Struthio camelus: one gene and its partner. The protein of the gene in region 1 interacts with the protein of each later gene in a biochemical or structural test. Links are inferred from orthologs where the notes say so. Each region holds a gene or a part of one and is shown on either strand. Other genes may lie near its edges.

Region 1 (10,457 bases):
TGGAAGAGAGATTACAGGGGGTGAGGGCTGATAAAATCATAAACGGAGTAGACAAGGTGAAATTGTGAAGCAGCAAGTATAACATAAATTGAGCAGAGAGCACAACAGAAACAAATTGTGGAAATTTAATTGCCATAGAATAAGAGGTGGCCAGAATTATAAGCAGGTTGGTAGCTCTGCCATCACTCCAGGAAATGCTACATCGCTGCTTGCTCTGGAAACTGAAGGCCAGATAAGAGAGAGACTGATTTTTACATGCGTGTTCACCAACTCTGCTTTGGCTGCTGTTTGATTTCTAGAAGCAGATGTTCTGGCTAGGTGCATCTGTGGTATGAGAGCATGGGATAGGCCTTCAGTTATCATGACAGATGGGCATTGCTAGAAAGTGATTTGTATTCAGAAACAGGATCTCTTCTCAGTAACATGACTTTTTTTTCCCCTAAGCAAGTTGTTGTTGATTATAAAGTAAAATGAAATAAGAACGCCCAGAAGTAGTATCTCCTTATCTCAGAAACTAAATAGTAACTGAGAAAAAAGTAGATACATTGGATTTCCTTGATTAAAAAAAAAAGTAGTAAGGAATAGAATTGGGCTGAAAAAGTCCTAGAAGTCTCATTGATTGCTGTGTTATATACTTTAGCCTGGCTTTTCAAAGAAATTGCACTGTTACACACAAAGTAGAAAGAAAATCTATAACTCTTTTCATTAAGGATGTGCAGCTCTTGAAATGAGTTTCAGTATTTGTAATACTTAAAGTATTCAGTCTATCTGTTTCAGCTCCACTAACAAAGTGAACTTTAAAACCAGATCCTATACATTCATTTCATTAGTTCAGACGTGAGCCACGGAGCTCTGGAAAACTGTTAAACGTATGATCTTGATGCTCAGAAAGAAGGCAGATGTCTGCTTCCCATAGGTGTGCAAGATCTCCCTGCAGTTTATAAGAAGCTTACAGTGAGCATCCAGGTTTTTCCAGGATTGGATCAGTGACAGTTTAAATGCTTGTTTGTTCTAAGCAAGTACATTTAGAATTTAAAACAAATTGTTACATTCTGGAGTACAAAACATAGGGAAAACGTTACATTTGTCACACATTTATCAGTCCTTGCTGACTGTCCCCTATATTATAGATGTAAATTTCTGTAGCAGTAATGACTAACACAGAGACTAACAGAGGGCCATTAGTGAAAATAAATTCTTCTCATAGAAATAGTTATATGGTCTTTCTAAGGTAATTCTTTATTTCTAGAATACTTTCCTTAAAACTGTTTGCCCTTAGAAATGTTCAGAATAAAATATTTAATCTACTTATTTTGATCTAAGCAGAAAATTCTGAAGCATAAATCTGCTTGGTTTTTAATGTCAGGGTTTCTGAGCTATTCAGACAGTTTGTTTGGTCTATAAACTATTGTTTCTGCATCTGAGTTTGTAAATTGTTCTTTTATTCTATGATTGGGAGAGTGCTGATTGTTTACAGTGCAATTGTGGCTTCCAGATATGATCGCTGATCACATCACATGTGAGAGGGTTGCTGTGGGGAGTGTTAATTCGCCACTAGCACCATTGTACTGACACTGGAGGAAAGGAGAAGGATCGAGATAATGCATAGTTTCTGCTCTTTGCTTTTGCCCATCTATTTCCAATTATTGGCTCCAATGAGTTCCTTTTCTCTTTTGCTTTGTGTTATGCTGTTAATCAAGCATGCACCTTTTGTGTAAGGGAAAATTTGGTCTTTTTACATTGTTAGTTTGTTAAACAAGTAGATGACAAGCTGATGCCTCACTGTTTGTGTTTAGTGATGGTCACTGAACCATCACCATTTTATTTCCAATGTACTTCTAGAGGATGCAGTGTCAGTCAGAGCACATAAGCTGATGTGACTGTCATGAACTGCTGTTCAACATATCGCAGTCTGTTCAGTGCTCCCTGCTTTCTTTTGTACTATACGTTACTCAAACCTGGGGCCTGTTTACATATAAAATATATAAATATAATATATACACATACAGGGGTGTCATATATATCATATTCAGTAACCTGGCGTTTTTATCTTCTGAGCAGAGCTCCCACTGACTTTGGTTGCGATTCTCGGTTCTCACCACTTCTGCAAATCAGAGCCTGGGATTTCACATCAGGCACCTAGGCAACGGCAGGTTGCGTACAGGTGACTTGTAGTGCCCCAGGTGAGAGTGCTGTGCTGGGGCAGTGACAGCATCTGATACTTCAAGGCAGAAGTCAGCTGATGTTACTATGAGTTCATCCTCTCTTCCAGCAAGCCTTGGCCTTGTGCATCTTACAATTTCTGTATCAGCCCAGAGTAGTGCACAAAACATAAGGCTTTTTGCATGGAAAGAAGCAGGTTTTTGGGAACAGGAAAAGCAGTGCATGAAGAAGCAGTTACAGACTGTTGTAATATGTAAAAGGAGGTGAAGTCTGGTTATAGAGGTAAACCCTGTCCTGGCACTCTTAACATCCAAGTACTTCATCCTGCAACCTTACTGCTTAATGCTGTTATTTTATGGTTTGTGTGTGTGTGTGTGCGCCCTGTCTTTGGGGCATGATGCTTGCATCTGCGGGTACATAGGCTGACTGCAGAGCTGATGGTAGTACCCAGTGGTCAGGTCATGCTCCTTATGGGTCGCTGCTACTGGAAGCTGACTAGCACTATGCAAGCTGGCCAGAGGTGAGCTGGGGCTGAACGGCTGCCAGCACCGTGCCTTGACGCACAGAGCGGCCAAACACTAAATGTTGGTTATGCTGTAGCTGTCCTATCACTTAGCTATTTTAATCAGTGGTGTAAGCATAGGTACAAGCATTAACAACTTGATGTACACATGGAAGAGTAAGGTCCTAACACTTCTCTTACAGAGCATGAACTCAGTAGCTAACAGCTTGCCTGCTGAAGTTTTCCTGGAAGTTTCAGTTGTTGAACAACTGTCGTTAGTTTTCAGTTTTGTAGTCTGGTGTAGAATTGCAGGGGACTTTGATGTTTTTACATCTTCTGTTAATCTGATTTCCTTTAAGATGAAAGGTTTTGAGCTGATTAATTACCACAACTTTTCGTGCTAATAATGAAGTTCACAGCGTAATCATAATGTATCAGCTAAGCTATGTATTAACTGTGTGGAACAAGTTAGCTTTTTCAGCCTAGCAACTGTGGTCTGCCTGTGATCCATCTGCATTGTAAAACTTTTTTTTTAATTACACATGCATGAGAATAGGGTATTCACACAATGCAAAAGTGCAAAAATAAGTCATACAGGAGCATTTTAAATTTTGTCCTGCTTATGTGGTTATAAATGGAACTATTATAGAAACATCTCATAATGCTCTACTTCTTCCTCAAAAAAATGGCATGCTCCTTCAATTAAAAAGGATGAGAAACCTTGATAGCAGACTAAGTTCTCATGGTTGGTGTAAAGCAGGCACTCTCAAAGACTGTGTACCAAAGTTAGAAGTAGAATGCACACAGGTCAGAAAAATCCTAGATGTAAAGTCATAGTGAGAAACTTGCACTGAAAAAACAAACAAACGTAAAAGGAGGTTATATATAGCTCATACAGGTAAGCTGCAGTAAAACCTGACTTATAATGTTCAGTATGTTACATGGAAAAATCTGATTTAAAAAAAACATCTTGGAGGAGAGATTATTCAAGTAGTGAAGGGATAACTGCAGACAGGTCTGGAGTGTTTTGTGCACTTCAGGTTACCTACATAGACTTTGCATTGCAGACATTGTAGAAGTAGGAAAGGTACAAGAAGACAAAGGAATCATTTAAAAAAGCAAAACTTCAGGTACCTTAAGCTTAAGACTACATCTAGAAACTACTGTAGGTACATGCATGTTGAAAAAAAGATGAAAAGTAGATTGTTGTTGACAAACTGTAAATTTTAAAGTAATGTTCAAATAAAAAAAATTATGCCTGCTTCCAATGAAATGGTTATTTCTTCCCAGAAAGAAAGTATGGCCTCAACTATCTTTTCTATTCTAAGAAATATTCTTGGGAGCAAACTTTTTTGTACAATTTACCATGAAGGAGATCTTAGCTAGCAGAACTAAATTTCTGTAAAAGCTGGGAGAACACCAAGAAACTCACAGATTATTAATACAAATGAGTTCTTGGAGGTGGCAACTGCTGTCTAATCTATCTTAAGATAGATATCTGCAGTTTTTACAAAGATAAATTCAGAAAGAGATTTGCTAGCTGAATATAGAAGAACTGTTGTGAGTGTTGCATATACATTCAGTACCTGTCTTAGGAGATCTGCAACTTGAAATGCTGTCCAGTTCTCGCATTCCTCTTGAGATGGTAGTTTTGTAGCCATGTTGCTATCCAGTGAGAAAGGCTTGATCTATATGAATAACACTGAACCGCTGCTTCACTGGTTTTTACTCAGCTGCTGTAGAAATCCTAAGAGGAAGTCCTTTTGCAACTTTTTTCCTGTTTGTGCAGTTAAAGTGCACGCCTTTTTAAAAGTAGCTTAAGAAGTACTGATATTCTTGTGTGAGCGATCCTTTTTGAGTCTAAGGAATCTGTAAGTGTTCTTTTATATTAAGATATGCAAATATCACTCATTAATGAAGTTTACTAAGAGTTCTGCTGAAAACCAATGTATAAAATATTTGAGTCATCAACGTCTGATTTATTTACAGGTGCAACTAAGGTGTGACTATTTTTCATATCTATTATAAAACCTGCTAATGGCAGCTAACTTGGCTTGCTTACCTCGAACTCCCTTGCAGTTGCTTGGATCCTTTTTCAGACCACATTTGACATGGCCCTTGGTTTTGACATGCTGAGCTATGGTGTTTACACAGAAGAAATAGAGCTTAGTTACAGAGCTCGTGCTTTCCTACAGTCACGTTAGTTAATGTCAGACTTCCGGTCAAGTCTGGGCATCATACTCTTGGGCTTAAAACTCAGTCATTTACTCAAGGGCAATGTATGTTCTAAAGAATTTTTTTTCTCTCAGGTTCTTAGTACTGTTAAAGAACAAATTCTTTCTGATACTCTGTTACCTTTTTAAAAAGCTAAGGCTGACCTAAAATGCATGTCCTGGGTCAGGCCAGAAGTTCATGTAGCCCAGTATCTTGTCTTCTGACTGCGGCCAGAAATGGGATGCCTAGGAAAGAGTATTGAAAGGGGCAAGCATGAAGTATATCCCTACACTCTTCCAGTCTCCAGCCATTTTGACCTGGGGGATGTCCTGGGCTGGATGTGGGTCTGTGTATGCGGGCAGGCATGTTATCCTCTATGGAGGGAGGTGTGCAATGCCCTGGGCCGACACAAAGCTGGGAAACACTCCCAGCAGCAGGAGAAGGAATGAATGCAGCAGTTTGGCTTGGATGGAGGCAAGATGAAGTAGCGCTGAAAAGGCTGAGTGGCACTTCTGTTCCCTTGCACCCTTGTCTCCATCCAGATGTCTCCTCTGAGCTGAATCCCCTGCCCTGCTCCTCATGGTCCCTATTCACCTCTAGCACAGAGCATGTTCCCAGTTTGAGATGAGCTGCATATGCATTTCTGAAAATGGAGAAGGGGTCACAGTACATATTCTGAAGTGGAGCAATGAGGGAAAGTTTGAGAGCCATTGCTTTATGCATTGGGCAACAAAATAGTCAAGACGCAGCTGCTGAAACAAAACCAGATTATTTTGCTCAGCAGTTCTGAGTCATCACGACAGGAGAAATAGGAAAGCTTCCATAAAAGGCTGGAGACCAACGAATCAATGTTCTGCTTTCCAATTAACTCTTCCTGTTTCATTTCCCAAAGCAAAATGGATTTTGGGCACGTTTTCAAAGTTAAAATGTCTCATCTGTCATCCTTCAAATTTTCCTGCATGTATTTTTGCTGTTAGAGTGACTGACAGGTCAGACTGTTGCCACTCTTAACTCTTTACTATGCCATGACTTTCCAGAACAATGAACTCGGCCAAACTCAAATCTTGGAATTTCAGATGCAGAACTAACACAATGCCCTTGCAACTTAAACTTTGCCTTCTCAGAACTGAAAATTATCTGAGTACCTGGTTGTGTGTATAAGAAATCATATGTTATATTTTGTAGCATTTGGTCATAAGTGGTTCCAAGGGGGCAACAGCTCTGGATGAGGGGAGGCAGCAATACCTTCTTCCAGTGTGCACAGAGGAAAGAGGTGCATGTATCCCAAAGGGATCTGTGTGCCTCGTTTCAGCACAGCAGCGATTGCATTAGTAGCATGTCCCTTATGTATGTATTATTGCCAGCGGCTGGCAGCAGCTGGGTGGGAGATGCCTGTGAGTTATAGCTTTGGCTGCTTGGGGAAAACAGCCAGGTAACAGACGCTATCAGGAGTGAAACGCGAGTACAGTGAAATTGCAATGCTATTATTTCTGTGATAGTGGCTGTGTTTGGTTCCTGAGCGGGTGTAAGCCGTTCCGATTCAGACACCTCGATGCCAGGTTAAGAGCGGTGCTCTGCGGGCGCTCTGCAGTGGGGCACGCGTTGCCAGAAGCACCGGCTCCCTTGCCCACCATGGCCTGTTAGGCCGGTAGCGTTGCTAGAAACCGCTGGGTGCCAGAAGCTGCTCCTTGCTGCCTGCCGCCCTCCACTGTTATGTTCATGCATAGCGTGGGAGCTGGGTCCGGCCCTGCCTGCGCATCCCCCTCGCTGCCGCGGCCTCCCTCCTCCCGGCGTGGGTGCTCAGTCACTGCTCTCCCCCGGGGGCTAACTTTTGGCTAAGTCTCCTACTGTTGCTTGGGTTGATGTTTCCTTAAATTTTGCATTCCTGGTTTTCGGGAGAGGGCCCTCCAGGGGATGACATGATGCAGCTAGTTGTCAAAGCAGGATGCAACTAGCAGGGGTCCCCGGCGCTGGGATTAGGGTTCACCTCCCTCTACTGAGTGAGACGCGTCGCCCTGGTAAGTCACGCTCAGCTCTGTGTTCCCGAGGTGGCTGAACCACGGGGGCTTTCATTTTGCTAGAAACTATTTACCTTTTGCTTTTCGGTCTGATTAGAGCATTGATCACAGTGACAAAATAATTAAACCCAGGGACATGGGGCTGCTCACCTGGGATCCTGCAGCTGGTCTCTGATACTGATATTTATGCTGGCTTCACCAGCGTTGTGGTTTTCTTTCCTCAAGTGTGTGCAACAAACTGACAGCTTGTTAGTGTGTGTTTCCTCTTGCTTTTCACTGCTTCCGGGGGGGGTATTTGAAGTATTCTTGCCTCTGAGGGCTCTGGTTTTGGTAATTAATTCTGCTTAGTACCCCTGTACTCCTGGTTATCCTGCACCAAAGATCATGGTAGTCTGAGTAAATATGTGCCCTCAAGCCCATGTTGGCTGTGGGGACGTGTGGGCTGCAGGTGGGGGGAGTCCATGTAGGGATGAAGATGCTGTTTCTTTGCAAATGGCCAGGCGCTGGCTGCTCCTGTTCGGCTGCGTTGCGGTGACTTGAGTGTGAACCAACACCAGCCCTGGGCAGGCTGTGCTTGTAGCTACTGAATATGCCCCTGAGCCTCTTGATCTGGCATGGAAACTGGCAGGTTAAACTGCTTGATGCGTTGAACCAGAAATGTTAACGGCTTTCATCCCTGCTGTTTACTTTTGCACTCTCCCCAAAAGTGGGGTTGGAGCTGGTGCTCTACCTCTAGTAGGGTAAATGTTAAACACCTGGAACAACTTTGGGGAAGACTCAAGCTGTGGAGCCCCCAGAGCTCTACAAAACTGATCTGTGTATATTAAGAAATTTAATTTTTCTGGAGCCCTTAGCAAAAAAGACATCTGATGCTGAGCCCTGTGTTGCTCTCCCTTGAGAAGCACCAAATATCAGGGGAATCTTAGTTAATGTGCATGTTTTAGACACCAGATAATTTGACCTTTACATAGAAAGGCATTCTCATACATAACTCCCAAACATAAAGCAGGATTAACACACCATTATGATATATGTTTGAACAAAATTATTTCCTACGGTTTGGAATGTGCAAGCCACATAAGAGACATGTTTTTACAGGCTACTGCTCCTTGGAGTTTCGTAAAGTGAGTCCTCAATTTGCAATTTCATAGAAATCATTAACGAGGAATACAGAAAATGGTTGCTAGATCATGCCATTAACATTTCTTACAAAATAGGGCTATATATTTTCATGAACAGAGCCACTAAATGTGTTAAACTTGCTTTAAAACTTTCAAGTCTAACTCTGCTTTGCAAAAAAAAGAAAAGGCAGCTGCACGTAACATTTTATTGGATATAACACTGGACTACTGCTCTCATTAGCAAAATATACTTGAGTAAAATCTGAGTTCTCTAAGGTATGACTTTATACAGAATATAATCCTTTGGCATTGCTATTTTTATGCAAAAATAACAAAAAGAACATGACTTACCATATACTCCTTGTTTTTCTTCTCCCAGGCGTGCATGTTGGAGTTGATTCCAAATAAGTTAAAGGAAGAGCTTCTCATGTCTGCTCTCGCCTCTTAAACCCTCCCATATGTTTTTTGTTGTTGTTAGTGTGATTGACAGGCCTGGCATTCATGGTGGGTGGGGAAAAAAACATTCTTAAAGTAAAAAACTAGAATAAAGTGTCATAGTCTGAATAAGTTCACAGAGGAAATTGGAGAATGAAGGCTTACTCACAGCTGTCTAGAAGCTTGAGAAAATGTTGCTAATCAGCTTTGTCTTCTCTCATTTAACAGGAAATCAAAATAACAGAAGCATAAAAACCATAGGGCCTGGAAGGGACCTCAGGAGACCTAGGCAGTAGAGAGGCAGGATCACATGTAACTAGAGCAAACTGGCTCTGTCTTGGAAGTCAGTTTGGTAACTCCTTTATTCTAACTGTAAGGTTTTGGGATAGTACCAGGCTGACCATATCCTAACGTGAGCACAGTAGGAGGAACAAATATAAATTCCGTGCTAGACTGTGGGAGAAAATGCCTGTTGGTAAGGATCATATTTGCAGCCTGGAGCTGGACCCTTGGAGATCGCTCTGATTGTGCTGCACTAGGACATCCTCAAAACGTTTGTCTAACCTGATCTTAAAACTTCCACTGAAGGTTTTTATAACATCTCTTATCCTGTCCCTGTGCATCACTGTCGTTATACGTTTTTCCATTTTCACTGTTAGGTAACAACTCTTTTTTTTCTCTGAAAATTAGTTTGGTTTCTTTGTTTCCCATGCCTGTTGAATCTGGTGAGCACCCACTGTACAGCACCTTTGGAGTATATATCTCTTTTACGTATCCATATATATCTTGAAATATATATAAACTTATATATAAATTTCCTGAGCAAACAAACCCAGTTTCTTCAGCTTTTCTTCCTAAGCAGTGATTTATAGAGCTTTTCTTAGTCTTTTTTGTTCTCATCACTCAAGTTTGGATACACCTTTATTGGAAGTTAGAGTGGCCAAACTGGTCCCCATATTATAGTCTTTATCCTGTGCAACTGGATAACCTATCTTGGTGATATCCATATATACTTTAGAAGTGCACTGTTTATTTCAGCATCTGTGTCGTTAACACAACGCTGAATACGATTAAGGCCGGAACAAATCTCTATGGGGCTCTACTTGAAATAACCTCTGAGTTTGAAATGGAACCACAAATATCTTCTCCGTGAGAGCTGGTTGAGCACTTACAGTATATGGTGCTTTATCACATTTCTGTAGCTTGCTTATGATAATTTTACATTAGGCCACAACAAAAGCCTTAGTGACCATATATCCTTCATGCTCCTAATCCCCTAGGCAGTTATCCTGTCAGGGAAGGAAATGAGTGATTTGACACAGTTGGAGTTCCTTCCTATTGTCGTATTAAACAATTTGTAAGCATATTGAGGATCATAATTTGCTGTAGAGTATTATCTGAGAACTGAAGTTGGTTTGACTGTTCTGTAGTTCCTTGTCCTCGTTCTCCCCTCATCTCGAAGGATGGATGTCTGCTCTTCTTCAGCTCCCTGCCTGGCCTCCAGTGTGTGCTGAATTCCTCATACCTGGAGTTCAAGGACTGCGATAGCTAGGTCTTCACCTAGTCTGTTTGCTGCTCTTCTCAGTGTTCTGGTCCACCTTAACCTAGGTAATAAATACTCTGATCCTTTCAAGTTGGTTCCTGTCCCTTATGGAAATTAAGCATCTGGTCACAATTTATCATCTTTTTGTAAAGACTGATTCAATACTTCAGTCTTCTGTTACTTATTCTCTTTTCCTACCTAGCAGTGGATCTATAATTCCCTCTGTTCTCCTCTTACTAATATTTCAAGAGCCAAAGAGATTTGAATGGACTTTGGGTGACCTTGAGTGAGGAAAGTGCAATGGGTGTTTGCAACAGCGCTCACAGGTAAGCACTGAGGAAGGAGTTTCTTCAAAAATTCCTGCAAAATATCATTGGGTATTTAAGACAGCTTAGCTTAAGCAGGATCTGGTGTGCACCTTTGTCTTTGAACTGCTGTTCACTTTTCAACATTTATTTTTT
Region 2 (11,187 bases), on another chromosome or scaffold:
GCGGCGGGGGGCTTGTGCCCAGCTGGGGGGGGGGGTCTCCGGCTGGGCCGCGGGGGTAAAGAGCTTGGGAAAGAGTCGGCGCACGCGCAAAAGGCACGCGGCGGCGGCACCGCGGCAGCCGAACCGCAGCGCCCACCTCCGCTGCAGAGGGGGCCGACGAGGGCCCCCCCACGGCCCCGAACCGCGCGCGGCTGCGCCGGCGCCGGGGGTGCCGGCCGCGGGGGAGCGCGCGCCCGCCCGCCCGCCCACGCGCCTGTCCCCGAGGCGTCCCACTCACTGCATCTCCTCCAGCCGAGCCAGCAGCACCTCCGCCAGCTGCTTCTCCTTGGCCTCCCGGATGCCGACGTCCCGGGTCTGGTAGGACTCCAGCTCGGTCAGCTCCTGCTCCCCCGGCGTCATGCCCATCAGGCGCTTGGACCTGGGGGACGGGGCGTCAGCGCCGGCGGGACGCGCCTGCCGCCCCCGTGCCGCGGCCCCCGGCCTCCTCCCACCTGAAGTCCTCCAGCTGCCGGGAGATCTCGGGCTCCTGGAAGGCCTGGATTTCCTGCAGGTACCGGCGCTGCACGTCGTCCGCCAGCAGCTCGGGGCGCGTGCGGTCTGCGGGGCAAGGGGGCCGCGAGCTGCCTCCGGCTGCGCCCCCAGGCAGCCCGGCCCGCGCCAGCCCGGGCCCCCGTTCAGGGCAGAGCGCGGGGCGCCCGCGGGGTGGGACGGGTTCGGGGCGCCCCGTGCCCCGCCGGGGCGTCGGGGGCTCTTCCCAGGCCCCTGCGGGGGACGCAGCAGGACTTGGGCGGGAGGGAGAGGGGCGCAGGCGAGGGGGCCCTGGGGAAGCGGCGCCGGAGCGCGCAGGGCAGCGTTTGGGGGCCGCCTGCAGCGTCCCCGAGCACCGGGAGATGGTGCCATGCAGCTGCGTCACGTTGTCCCCCCCCCCGACCCCCCCTCCCAGCCGCAGCCCCATGAGCTCACCCTGGCCGGGGCTTCCCAGGCGCTTCCGGCCTTTCTCGCCAGCCGCGGCCAGCTGGGTGCGGCTGGAGGAGGAAGGGCCCAGGCCGGGACAGCGAGCAGCGGGTGCCGGGGGGCTGGGGTTGCGCCGTGGGGTGCAGCGGGGGGAGCCGAGGGGGGACGGGGCGCGCCGTGGGGTGCAGGCGTGGGTTTGGGAGCGAAGCCGAGGGGCTGAGTCGCGTCCCTAAACCCCCGCGCTGGGGTGGGGGGGGAGTTAACTCACCCAGTTCGAACTGCACCTGGTGGGGGACAGGCACCCGCAGGAGCTGCGAGAGAGGGGGGTCAGCGAGGGGCGGCGGGGGGGCGCCGCACCCCTCTGAAAGCCCCGCGGGAGGGGGAGCCGTGGGGCGCAGAGGGGCTGGGGGCGTCACTCACCCCGGCCTTGTCCAGGAACAAGTGGCAGAACTCGAGGAACTGCTTCTTGCCCTCCTTGGGGTTCATCTTGCGCAGCATGTCCACGTGCAGGTAGCAGAGCTGGGGGGGGGGCGTGCACAGGCTGACGGCAGGGCCCCCTGCCCCCCCTGCACCCCTCCTGCGCCCCCCCTGCACCCCGCGCCCCCCCCGAGCCCCCCAGGGTATTACCTCAGCTCCAGCCCCTGCCAGCAGGGAGGGGGGAACAGAGAGAAGAGGTTATTCAAGGGGACGCGCCGCGCAGCCGCTTACGCGCGCGCACCCCCCGGGGGGCTTTCGCACGCTGGTAGGGGGCCCTCTGCAAGCCCAGGCGCCGGCCTGGGTCCCTGTGCGGCCCCCCCCCGCCCCCCCGGCCCGCGAGCCGCCCCCGGCGGCGCTCACCACGGGGCAGGAGTCGAACTGCAGGACGACGTGCTGCAGGAAGGCCATGAGATAGGCCGGGTGCTGCCGGACCAGCTCCAGGCTCTGGAACATGCTGTTCTGGTCGTCGGGGTTCTGCGGGGTGGGGGGGGCAGAGTGAGGCTCCTGCGGGGCCCCCCCTCACCCCCGGCGCCCTCCCGCGGGCGCCCGCTCACCGGCTCGATGTCGTTCTCAAAGTCCTCATCCTCGGCGCCGATGATGGCCACGACGGACCCGCCGCGAGCACCCGCCGCCGGGCTCTGGGGAGAGACGCGGTGTCGGGGGCAGCGGGGAGAAACGGGGTCGGGGCGGGGGGGGGGGGGCGGCTTTCCGGGGCGCCCCCGAGCGCAAACAGCCTCGCAGGGCGCCTCTCCGCCCCGGAAATCCGCCCGGGTCGCGGCGGCGGGGGAGCCCCGTCACCCCCCCACCAGCACCAGCACCCGCACTCACCCCGTTAAACGCCTCCTCGGGCTCCATGCTGCCCCCGGGGAGCGGGGGGGGCCCCGTCGGCCGGCTCGGGGGGTCGCGCCTGGCGGGGAGAGAGGGGGTCATGGGGAGACGGGCCCCGAGCCCGGGGACCGAGACGAGTTTGCTGGGTCTCGAGCCCGAGGGCGCCCCCTCCAACGGCGGCGCAGGAAGCCGCGGGGGCCCATCCCTCTCGGCGAGCAGGATACGGGCGCGCGGTGCGGGGGCGCGCGCGGGCGAGGGGCGGGGGCGCGCGGCCGGACGCGCTCCCCGCAGCCGGGCTCTCCCCGCCCCCCCCCCCCCCGGCTCCGACGTTCGGGGTGGGGGTGGCGCCGGGCCGTCAATGGGGCTCTGTGCGGCACAAAGAGCCCCATTGAGAGCCCGGCGGTGGCGGCGGGGGGGGAAAGGGGGGGGGCCCTGCCCGCCCCACCCACCCCACCCCACCCACGCGCGCCCGCCCCGGCCCACCCTCTCCCCGCGCCCCCCAGGAGCCGCGGCCCGCGCTCCTGCCCGCTCGGACGCCCCCCTCGGCGGGGCGGGGGGCGCAGGTGCGCGCCGTGCGGGGGCTCGGCGCCTTCCGGGGCCGGTCCAGGGCTGCTCCCCGCGCGCTCCACCCCCCGCGGCCCCTCTACCTACCTCTTGCCGAGCGGGCGCCGGTGGCACGGGTCCGACGGGCAGGAAATGTGGCAACCCCTGCCCGTCGGGGGGGGGGGCGGAGTACGGCCCCAAGAAGTTTGGGGGGGGGGGGCAGGACCCGGACACCTGGGCTCCTCGGGGCGCCCCCTCCCCGTCGCCCCGCAGCGGAAAGGCGGCTCCTCGGGCTCTAAAACAAAGCAACGGCCCCCAGATTATTTACGGAGAGAGCAAGGCTTCCTGCAGGAAGTGATGTGCAACGCGACGGCACCAGCCTCCCCCCGCCCCACGGCGCGGCCCGCGGCCCCCCACCTGCCCCGCAGCCCCCGCGCTGGCAGGGCCCCCCGGTCCTGCCCCGCGGCCCCCCACCGGGGCGGGCTCTGCCCCGCGGCGGCCCCAGGGCCCCCCGAGCCCCCCCCATCCCCGGCGGCGGCGCTGCCCCCCGGCGCCCCTCACCTCTGCCCCACAGCCCCGCCGCCCGCTTGGCAGCGCCCTCGGCCGCTGCCCTGTCCCCGTTGGACGGTGTCCAGGCTCCAGCTGTCCGGAGCGGGCCGCGGGGGGGGGCCGGCCCTGCCGGGGAGCGGGGCGCCCCCCGGGCGCGTGGGGGACACCGGGGGGGGGACACACACGCCACGGGTGTCACCGAGGCCCCAAATGCCTCCGGGATTCCTGGCATGGCAGGGCCGCCGGGAGGGGCGGCGATGCCGGGGAGGGGCGAGAGGCGGTGCCCCCCCCCGGGGCAGGGGACACCCCGCCTCCACCGTGGGGGCAGCCCCATAGCCCTGGCAGTGGGGCGCCCCACGGCCGGGCGCCCCTCGCGCCCCTCCGACGCGGCCTCCACCCTGTACGGAGCCGCCCAGCTGCCCCCCGCGCACGCGTCTCCCCACGGCCCCGGCCTAGCAGAGCCCTGCCCCACATGCACGGCTGCCCCTGGCCCCCCGCGCATCTCCTGCCCCACACAGCTCCCGTGGCCCCACACGCGTCCCCTGGCCTCATGTACGCTCCAGCCCTACACGCGTCCCCTGGCCCCACATAACCCCAGCCCCACACAACCCCAGCCCCACACGCATCCCCCGGCCCCACACACATCCCCCGGCCCCACATAACCCCAGCCCCACACGCATCCCCCGGCCCCACATAACCCCAGCCCCACACACATCCCCCGGCCCCACATAACCCCAGCCCCACAGGAACCCCCTGGCCCCATGTACACCCCAGCCCCACACGCATCCCCTGGCCCCACAGGAACCCCCTGGCCCCATGTACACGCATCCCCTGGTCCCACATAACCCCCAGCCCCACACGCGTCCCCTGGCCCCACATAACCCCAGCCCCACACACATCCCCCGGCCCCATGTACACTCCAGCCCCACACAGCTCCCGTGGCTGAATAGCTCCCGGCCCCACGCGCGTCCCCTGGCCTCACGTACACTCCAGCCCTACACGCGTCCCCTGGCCCCACATAACCCCCGGCCCCACAGGCACCCCCGGCCCCCCACACACCCTCCCGCCGCCTCCCCACGGCGCCGTTCGGCTGCCGCAGCCGCTGCCGGACCGACACGACGCCAGAACCGGAGGCAGGAAACGGTCACTTCCGCCCGGCTCGGCTCGGCTCGGCTCGGCCCGGCCCGGTCCGGCTCGGCTCGGCTCGGCTCGGCTCGGCTCGGCACACTCACCGGGTCGGGTCGGGCCGGGCCGGGGGAGCGGGGGAGCGGGGGAGCGGGAACCCGCTGCCGGTTGCGGCCGGTCCGGGCCGTCCGCTCCTCTCGGCGCTTCCTGCGGGAGGAGCGAGGCCGGGAACCGCCTCCTGCCGCCCGGGGCCGCGGAGTCCCGGCCCGCTGCCCCTCAGCGCCCCCAGCGCCCCCAGCGCCCCGGGGGTCGCTCCCCCGCACCCCCAGCACCCCTGGGCATCACCCCCCAGCACCCCCAGCACCCCTGGGCATCGCTGCCCCCGGGGGTCCCTGCACCCCCAGCGCCCCAGCCCCGCTACCCCGGGGGTCCCTGCGCCCCCAGCGCCCCGGGCATCGCTCCCCCGCACCCCCAGCACCCCTGGGCATCGCTGCCCCGGGGGTCCCTGCGCCCCCAGCGCCCCCGGCCCCGCTGTCCCTGCTCGCACACCCCCAGGTCCCACATCTCCCGCGTGCCGCCGCGACACGACGCGACGCGACATGACACGACGTGACACGACACAACACAACGACGCGAGACGACACGACAACACGACACGACACGACACGACACGACACGACACAACACGACACGACACAACACGACACGACACGACAACACGACACGACAACACGACACGACACGACACGACACAACACGATGACACGATACGACACGACACGACAAGAAGACACGACAACACATGACACGACAACATGACATGACGACACGACATGACGATACGACGACACGACATGACACGACATGACGACACACCGACACGACACGACGACATGACACGACGACACGACATGATAACACAACACAACACGATAACCCAACGTGACAACACGACACGATGATACGACGACGCGACGCGACACGACGACATGGTGATACGACGACGCGATGCAACGCGACACGATGACGCGATGACATGACGCGACAACCCAACCCAACGCGACAACCCAACACGACACAACAACACGGCACGACAACCCAACCCAACCCAACAACCCAACACAACGACACAACATTACAACCCAACACGACACGACAACACGACGCAACGACACGACACGACAACCCAACACGACACGACAACACAACACAACGACACGGCACGACAACCCAACGCAACACGACAACCCAACACGACACAACAACCCAACACAACGACACGACACGACAACCCAACCCAACACGACACCCCAACACGACACAACAACCCAACACAACGACACGACACGACAACCCAACCCAACACGACACCCCAACACGACACGACACAACGACACGGCACGACAACCCAACGCAACACGACGACACGACAGGACACGACAGGAGGACGGCGGGGCAGTCGTCCCCGGTGCCCCCACCCCCCGGAGCGCAGCCGGGGTGGGCGACCCGCGTGGGTCCCCGTCCCTGAGCGGGGCTGGTAGGGCATCCCCGGGCTGGGCCGGCGTTCGGGGTGGGGCGTGGAGGCGGCCCGCCGCGCAGGCGCCCCGCGGCCCCCCGGGTGCCGGGCAGGGGCGGGCGCGGGGCGCCGGGGCGCATCTCCTGCCGCGGGGCCCGGCGCAGAGAGCCCGCAGCAGGCGCGCAGGGCTGCGCTCCGCCGCGCCGTGCCACGCCGCCGGCGCGACATGGCGGGTGCTGCCGGCCGGCGCGGCGCCCCGCTGCCCCTCGTCCTCTGCCTCTTCTCAGGTAGGGCCCGGCCGGGCGGGGGGCGCGGAGCGGGTGGTTGGGGGGGGGCCAGCCCGCCCCGAAACGCTCGCCCCCACGGCGCGGGTGGGCTGGGGCGCAGCCGGCGGCCCGCGAGCCCGCGGCGGGGGGCAACGGGGCGCCGCGAGGGGAAAGGCCCCGCGGCCCCCTCGCCGGCCCCCCGCCGCTGCCCCCCCCGGGGCACCCCGGAATAGCGTCGGCCCCAGCCCGTCCCTTTTGCTTCCTGTCAACACGGCCCGAAAAGAGGAACCGAAACCGGCCCCAGGGGGGTTGGGGGCGGGGGGCGCGCGGGGCCGGGGCCCTGCTGGCGCCGGGGAGGCCCCCCGCCGCCTCCCGGCGAGCTTGGCCGGGCCCTGAGGTGCCCCCCCCACCCCGCGCTCTGCCCGCAGGGTGCCTCTGGCTGGCGCCCGCCGCGGCCAACCGGACCTGCAACGGCAGCAGCTGCCCCTTCTCCCTGCCGCCGCCGCCGCCCCCGTCCCGCCTGGCCCTGACCCCCATCCTGGTGGAGAACAACCAGACGGTGGCGGCGGGCCGGTGCTGCCCCGGCAGATGCTCCGTGGTGGTGGAGGCCGGGCCCACGTCCCGCACCGCCACGGTGGGCGACCGCGTCAGCCTGGAGTGCGTGTTCAAGGCCCCCAAGGACGCCACGGTGACCTGGAACCGCGTCTGCCCCCACAAGAACTGCAGCGCCTCCTTCGCCCCCGTCAACACCAGCTACGGCGGCCGCTCCCTCTTGCTGGAAGCCGGCCGCGTCACCCTGACCTTCCGCCACGTCGACAAGCAAGACGCCGGCCTCTACTTCTGCAAGGTGGAGGCCGGCTGGGCCGCCGGGCGGTCGTGCGGCACCTACCTGCGCGTGCGCAGTGAGTGGGGGGCGCGGGGAGGGTGGGCCGGCCCCTCCGGCGGGCGAGGGGGGCTCGGGGCCGAGCTGACGGCCGCCCCCGGCGCCCCCTTGCAGACCCGATGGCCGTGCCCTTCCTGAACATCAAGGAATCCACTAAGAACCGGATCATCATGGCGGAGGGCATCCTGCTCCTGCTCTGCGCCGTGGGACCCGGCCTCTTCCTCCTCTTTAGGGTGAGCCCCCCGCGCGCCCGAGCGGCGCCGGCCACCCCCCGCCCCGAGAGCATGCGGCGGCAGCGGCAGCGGCGGGTCTGGGGTCAGCGGTGGCGGGTCTGGGGGCGGTGGTGGTGGGTCTGGGGTCGGTGGTGGCGGGTCTGGGGGCAGCGGTGGTGGGTCTGGGGGCAGCGGTGGCGGGTCTGGGGTCGGCGGCGGCGGGTCTGGGTCAGTGGTGGCGGGTCTGGGGGCGGTGGTGGTGGGTCTGGGGGCGGTGGTGGCGGGTCTGGGGGCAGCGGTGGCGGGTCTGGGGGCAGCGGTGGCGGGTCTGGGGCGGCAGCGGCGGTGGGTCTGGGGCGGCAGCAGCGGGTCTGGGTCAGCAGTGCCAGGTCTGGGGTCAGCGGCGGCGGGTCTGGGGCCAGCAGCGGTGGGTCTGGGGTCGGCGGCGACAGGTCTGGGGGCAGCGGCGGTGGGTCTGGGGTCGGCGGCGACGGGTCTGGGGGCAGCGGCGGTGGGTCTGGGGTCGGCGGCGACAGGTCTGGGGCGGCGACGGCGGGTCTGGGGGCGGCAGTGGCGGGTCTGGGGCCAGCGGCGGTGGGTCTGGGGCGGCGACGGCGGGTCTGGGGGCGGCAGTGGCGGGTCTGGGGGTGGCAGTGGCGGGTCTGGGGCCAGCGGCGGTGGGTCTGGGGTCGGCGGCGACGGGTCTGGGGGCAGCGGCGGTGGGTCTGGGGTCGGCGGCGACGGCGGGTCTGGGGCGGCGACGGCGGGTCTGGGGGCGGCAGTGGCGGGTCTGGGGCCAGCGGCGGTGGGTCTGGGGTCGGCGGCGACGGGTCTGGGGGCAGCGGCGGTGGGTCTGGGGCGGCCCGGCGCCGGCGGGATGCCCCGCGCGCCGCGAGCCCCGGCCTGAGCTCTGCCCCTTTCGGCCGCCGCAGAAGCGATGGGCGAACGAGCGGCTGCTGCAGCTCAAGAAGAGCGCCTACGAGGAGGAGAACCTCTACGAGGTGAGCCCGCCGGCGGCGCGCGCGCCGTCCCGCCCCGTATCCGCCGAGCCCCGCGGCCTCGCTGACCCCGTCGTCCCTTTGCCTCCCCAGGGGCTGAACCTGGACGAGTGCTCCATGTACGAGGACATCTCGCGGGGGCTGCAGCCCACGTACCAGGACGTGGGCAGCCTCTGCGCCGGCGACACGCAGCTGGAGAAGCCGTGAGGGGCCGGGGCCCTCGCCTCCGGCCTTCCGCCGTGCCCGCGCGTCACCCCCTTCCGCCTCCCGCCAGCCCCCCGGCCTCTTCTCGCCCTCCGGCTTCCCACAGACGGGGGCAATTTGGCGCCGGGATCGGCGCCCGGCGCAGCCAGCTCCCGGCAGCACCAGGCAGCGACAGACGCCCGTTATCGTCCCCTTTGGCTCGAGTCCCCCACGGCTTCGCTCCGCTCTTCAACCACGCGGTTCCCTTGGCGTTCCCCTCCCCTGACTGTGGCTCCGGCCCCAGGTGCTCTGCTGGCCGGGCGGCTCGACCAGGAATAAAGCTGACGAGCTGCTGACGGGGGGTCCTGGAGTCCGTGCGACACGGAGGGGGCTGCACGGGGCCGGGGGAGGGCGTGCGGGAATAGAGCCGCTCTGTTCCCGGCCGCCGCGCTCAGCCCTGCCTCGAGCCGGCGCGTCTCAGACTTTCCAGGTCGGCAGCGCCCCGCGGGCCGCAGCAGGAGTTTCCGTGTCCCTCCCCCTTCCCCTTCGTGCCGGCAGTGAACGAGGAGCAGCCGCTCCCCAAACGAAGAAAGCAAAGCAAAGCTCGCCTCCTCTCCCACCCCGACTGCCCCTTCCGTCTCCCCGGGAGAGGGGACTCACCCACCGGTGGCGGAGCGCCGCTTCCGCTGCTGCCTCCCCGTGCGCCCGGAGCGCGCGGGCTGCGCGGGGGAGAGCAGAACCAGCGCCCGCGGGCCGCCGCCGCCTTCCCCGCGAGCGCTGCCAGTCCGCGCCGCCCCTCTTTCTAGCCCACCGAAGGCGCCGGCTGTTTTAGGCCCCAGCTGGAGCGTCTGCGGGGACGAGCCCGTCCCTGTGACTCTGCGGGAAACTGGGATGACTTCGCAGGGAGCCAAAACGGGCCAGAGCTTTAGTGAAGGCCATCGTCACGAGCAAAGGGCACTTCCTCCGCTTGCGCTTCCGCGCCCTGGGTCTCGAAGGTAAATGGTTTCTCTCCCCCTTGCCCGAGGGAGGAGGCCTGTGCCAGCCGCTCCTGGGTTTTCGCGCACCGAAACGCACCCCAAGATAAAAACCGCCTGCGAGAGGGGCGCCGGGGACTCGCCTCCCCCAGTTAGACCCGATTGCTCCTCGCCACCGAGATGGATGTACCTGTCCCCGCCCCGGGGGCAGTTACAGCACACGAGGTGCAGCCGGCAGGCCGCGCGGGACGAGCGTCGCGCTCCCGCCCCGCACCCCGGCCGGGAGGAATCGGGCGGTTGGGAGCCGGCAGGGCGATCCCGCTTCCGGGGGCCTGAGCCGGTGTTAGAACGAGGCTCCCCAAAGCTGAGCCCCTCTGCGTTGGGGCGGGACTCCTCGCCCGCCCCAGGACGCCGCTGCCTCCTCCCAAACACCTTCCACGATCAAACGCGCGCCTCCCTCGGCAAGCCCGCGGTGCCGCCCCTCCCCGCCACCGTCTTCCAGACACGCTCGGAGAAACAGCGATGTGGGGATATTAATAAAACATTTGTTATGAAGATAAACACAGAGCAGGAGAGAGCTGAAGAGCACGAAACTTCCTCTGCTTCCTGTCAGGCCTCTGCGGGCCGCGGAAGGCAGCGCTGTGACAGAAAGCAGAGCCGGGGGGGCTCCTCGCACGGGCCAAGGGCGGCCGCTGCCCCGTCCTCCCGGTCACCCCTCCTTCGCACGGCCCCAAACTGCCCCGGGCGAGGTGTCAGCCTCCTTCCCGACTCCCAGCCCAGCCTGGGGGCGCGGGACAGCCCGGTTTCACCTCCCGGGCAACACGGGAAGGGCGCTTCTCTCCCGCTGCGCTTTCCCGCCGCGCCGGGTCCTTGCTGAAGCCCGGGGGCTGCGGACTGAGCGTTTGCTGACGCAGAAAGGCAACCCGGGCAGGCTAGAAGGGGAAGGGAGGAGCAGGGCCTTGGTGGGGACAGAAACGGGCCGTCTGGCCCTGCACCGCGGCGCCTCCTTCCGTGGACACCAGCGCGCCCGAGGCAACGAGGTGCTGGGCGCGCGGAGAGGGGACAGCCATCACTGCTGCGTCCTTAGGCGCTTGGGGGCGTCGAGGCCACGTCAGGGGAGGAGGAAAAGCCCCAGGAAACTGTAAGGCTTACATAAGTAATTGCTACCCTGTGGTTTATTGATTTTGAGGCACGCTTTTTTCTCTCTTTCATAAGCTGTACGCGTTAACTTGGGTGCTGTGTCCAGTGGCTTCAGAAACAGCTCCCCTGGGTGCGTCTAGAGAGCGCGCTATGCAGGGCTGCTTAGCTGCTGCCGCAGCAGAGCTACAGAAATAAACGGGCAGTGACATATTTGGGCCTAATTCTCTGTAGCCGCAGAGTAAATAAGAGCCCAGGCCTCCGACGGAACGTGAATGCACAGAGAAAGATGAGCCACTGCGCTCTTTCTTGGAGCCAGGCATGGAAAACCGCAGCAGCCTAATCCTGATACTGATACCTTCTGATTATAATTGACTAAGCAGTGACACTGTCCCCTTGCATTTGTGTCTGGCTCAGCATCAGCTCGGCTCCGTGCCGACAGCCTCCGACACGCTGCCGTGCGGGAATGCAGGAGCCAGCACAATGGGAATGAGATGTCAGGCTGTGGCCGTCGCTGCGCTGGACTGCAGCCAGGTCACGGA

The links.
Region 2: the proteins of BLNK (region 1) and CD79A form a complex in vitro, tested with the Homo sapiens proteins (2 studies listed by BioGRID). The link is inferred for Struthio camelus from reciprocal best matches to the Homo sapiens genes BLNK and CD79A.

The regions. Positions count from the first base shown.
Region 1 is NC_090948.1:18,433,742-18,444,198, reverse strand, and holds the start of BLNK (B-cell linker protein), read right to left. Parts: upstream 4,410-10,457; 5' UTR 4,327-4,409; coding exon 4,252-4,326; intron 1-4,251. UniProt on the Homo sapiens protein: Functions as a central linker protein, downstream of the B-cell receptor (BCR), bridging the SYK kinase to a multitude of signaling pathways and regulating biological outcomes of B-cell function and development.
Region 2 is NC_090980.1:231,768-242,954, reverse strand, and holds CD79A (B-cell antigen receptor complex-associated protein alpha chain), read left to right. Parts: upstream 1-6,124; 5' UTR 6,125-6,218; coding exon 6,219-6,279; intron 6,280-6,686; coding exon 6,687-7,160; intron 7,161-7,255; coding exon 7,256-7,374; intron 7,375-8,285; coding exon 8,286-8,354; intron 8,355-8,444; coding exon 8,445-8,558; 3' UTR 8,559-8,890; downstream 8,891-11,187. Other genes in the region: ARHGEF1 (rho guanine nucleotide exchange factor 1), read right to left, coding at 278-418, 492-597, 1,223-1,265, 1,375-1,473, 1,792-1,905, 1,986-2,069, 2,260-2,338, 2,911-3,097 and 1 more. UniProt on the Homo sapiens protein: Required in cooperation with CD79B for initiation of the signal transduction cascade activated by binding of antigen to the B-cell antigen receptor complex (BCR) which leads to internalization of the complex, trafficking to late endosomes and antigen presentation.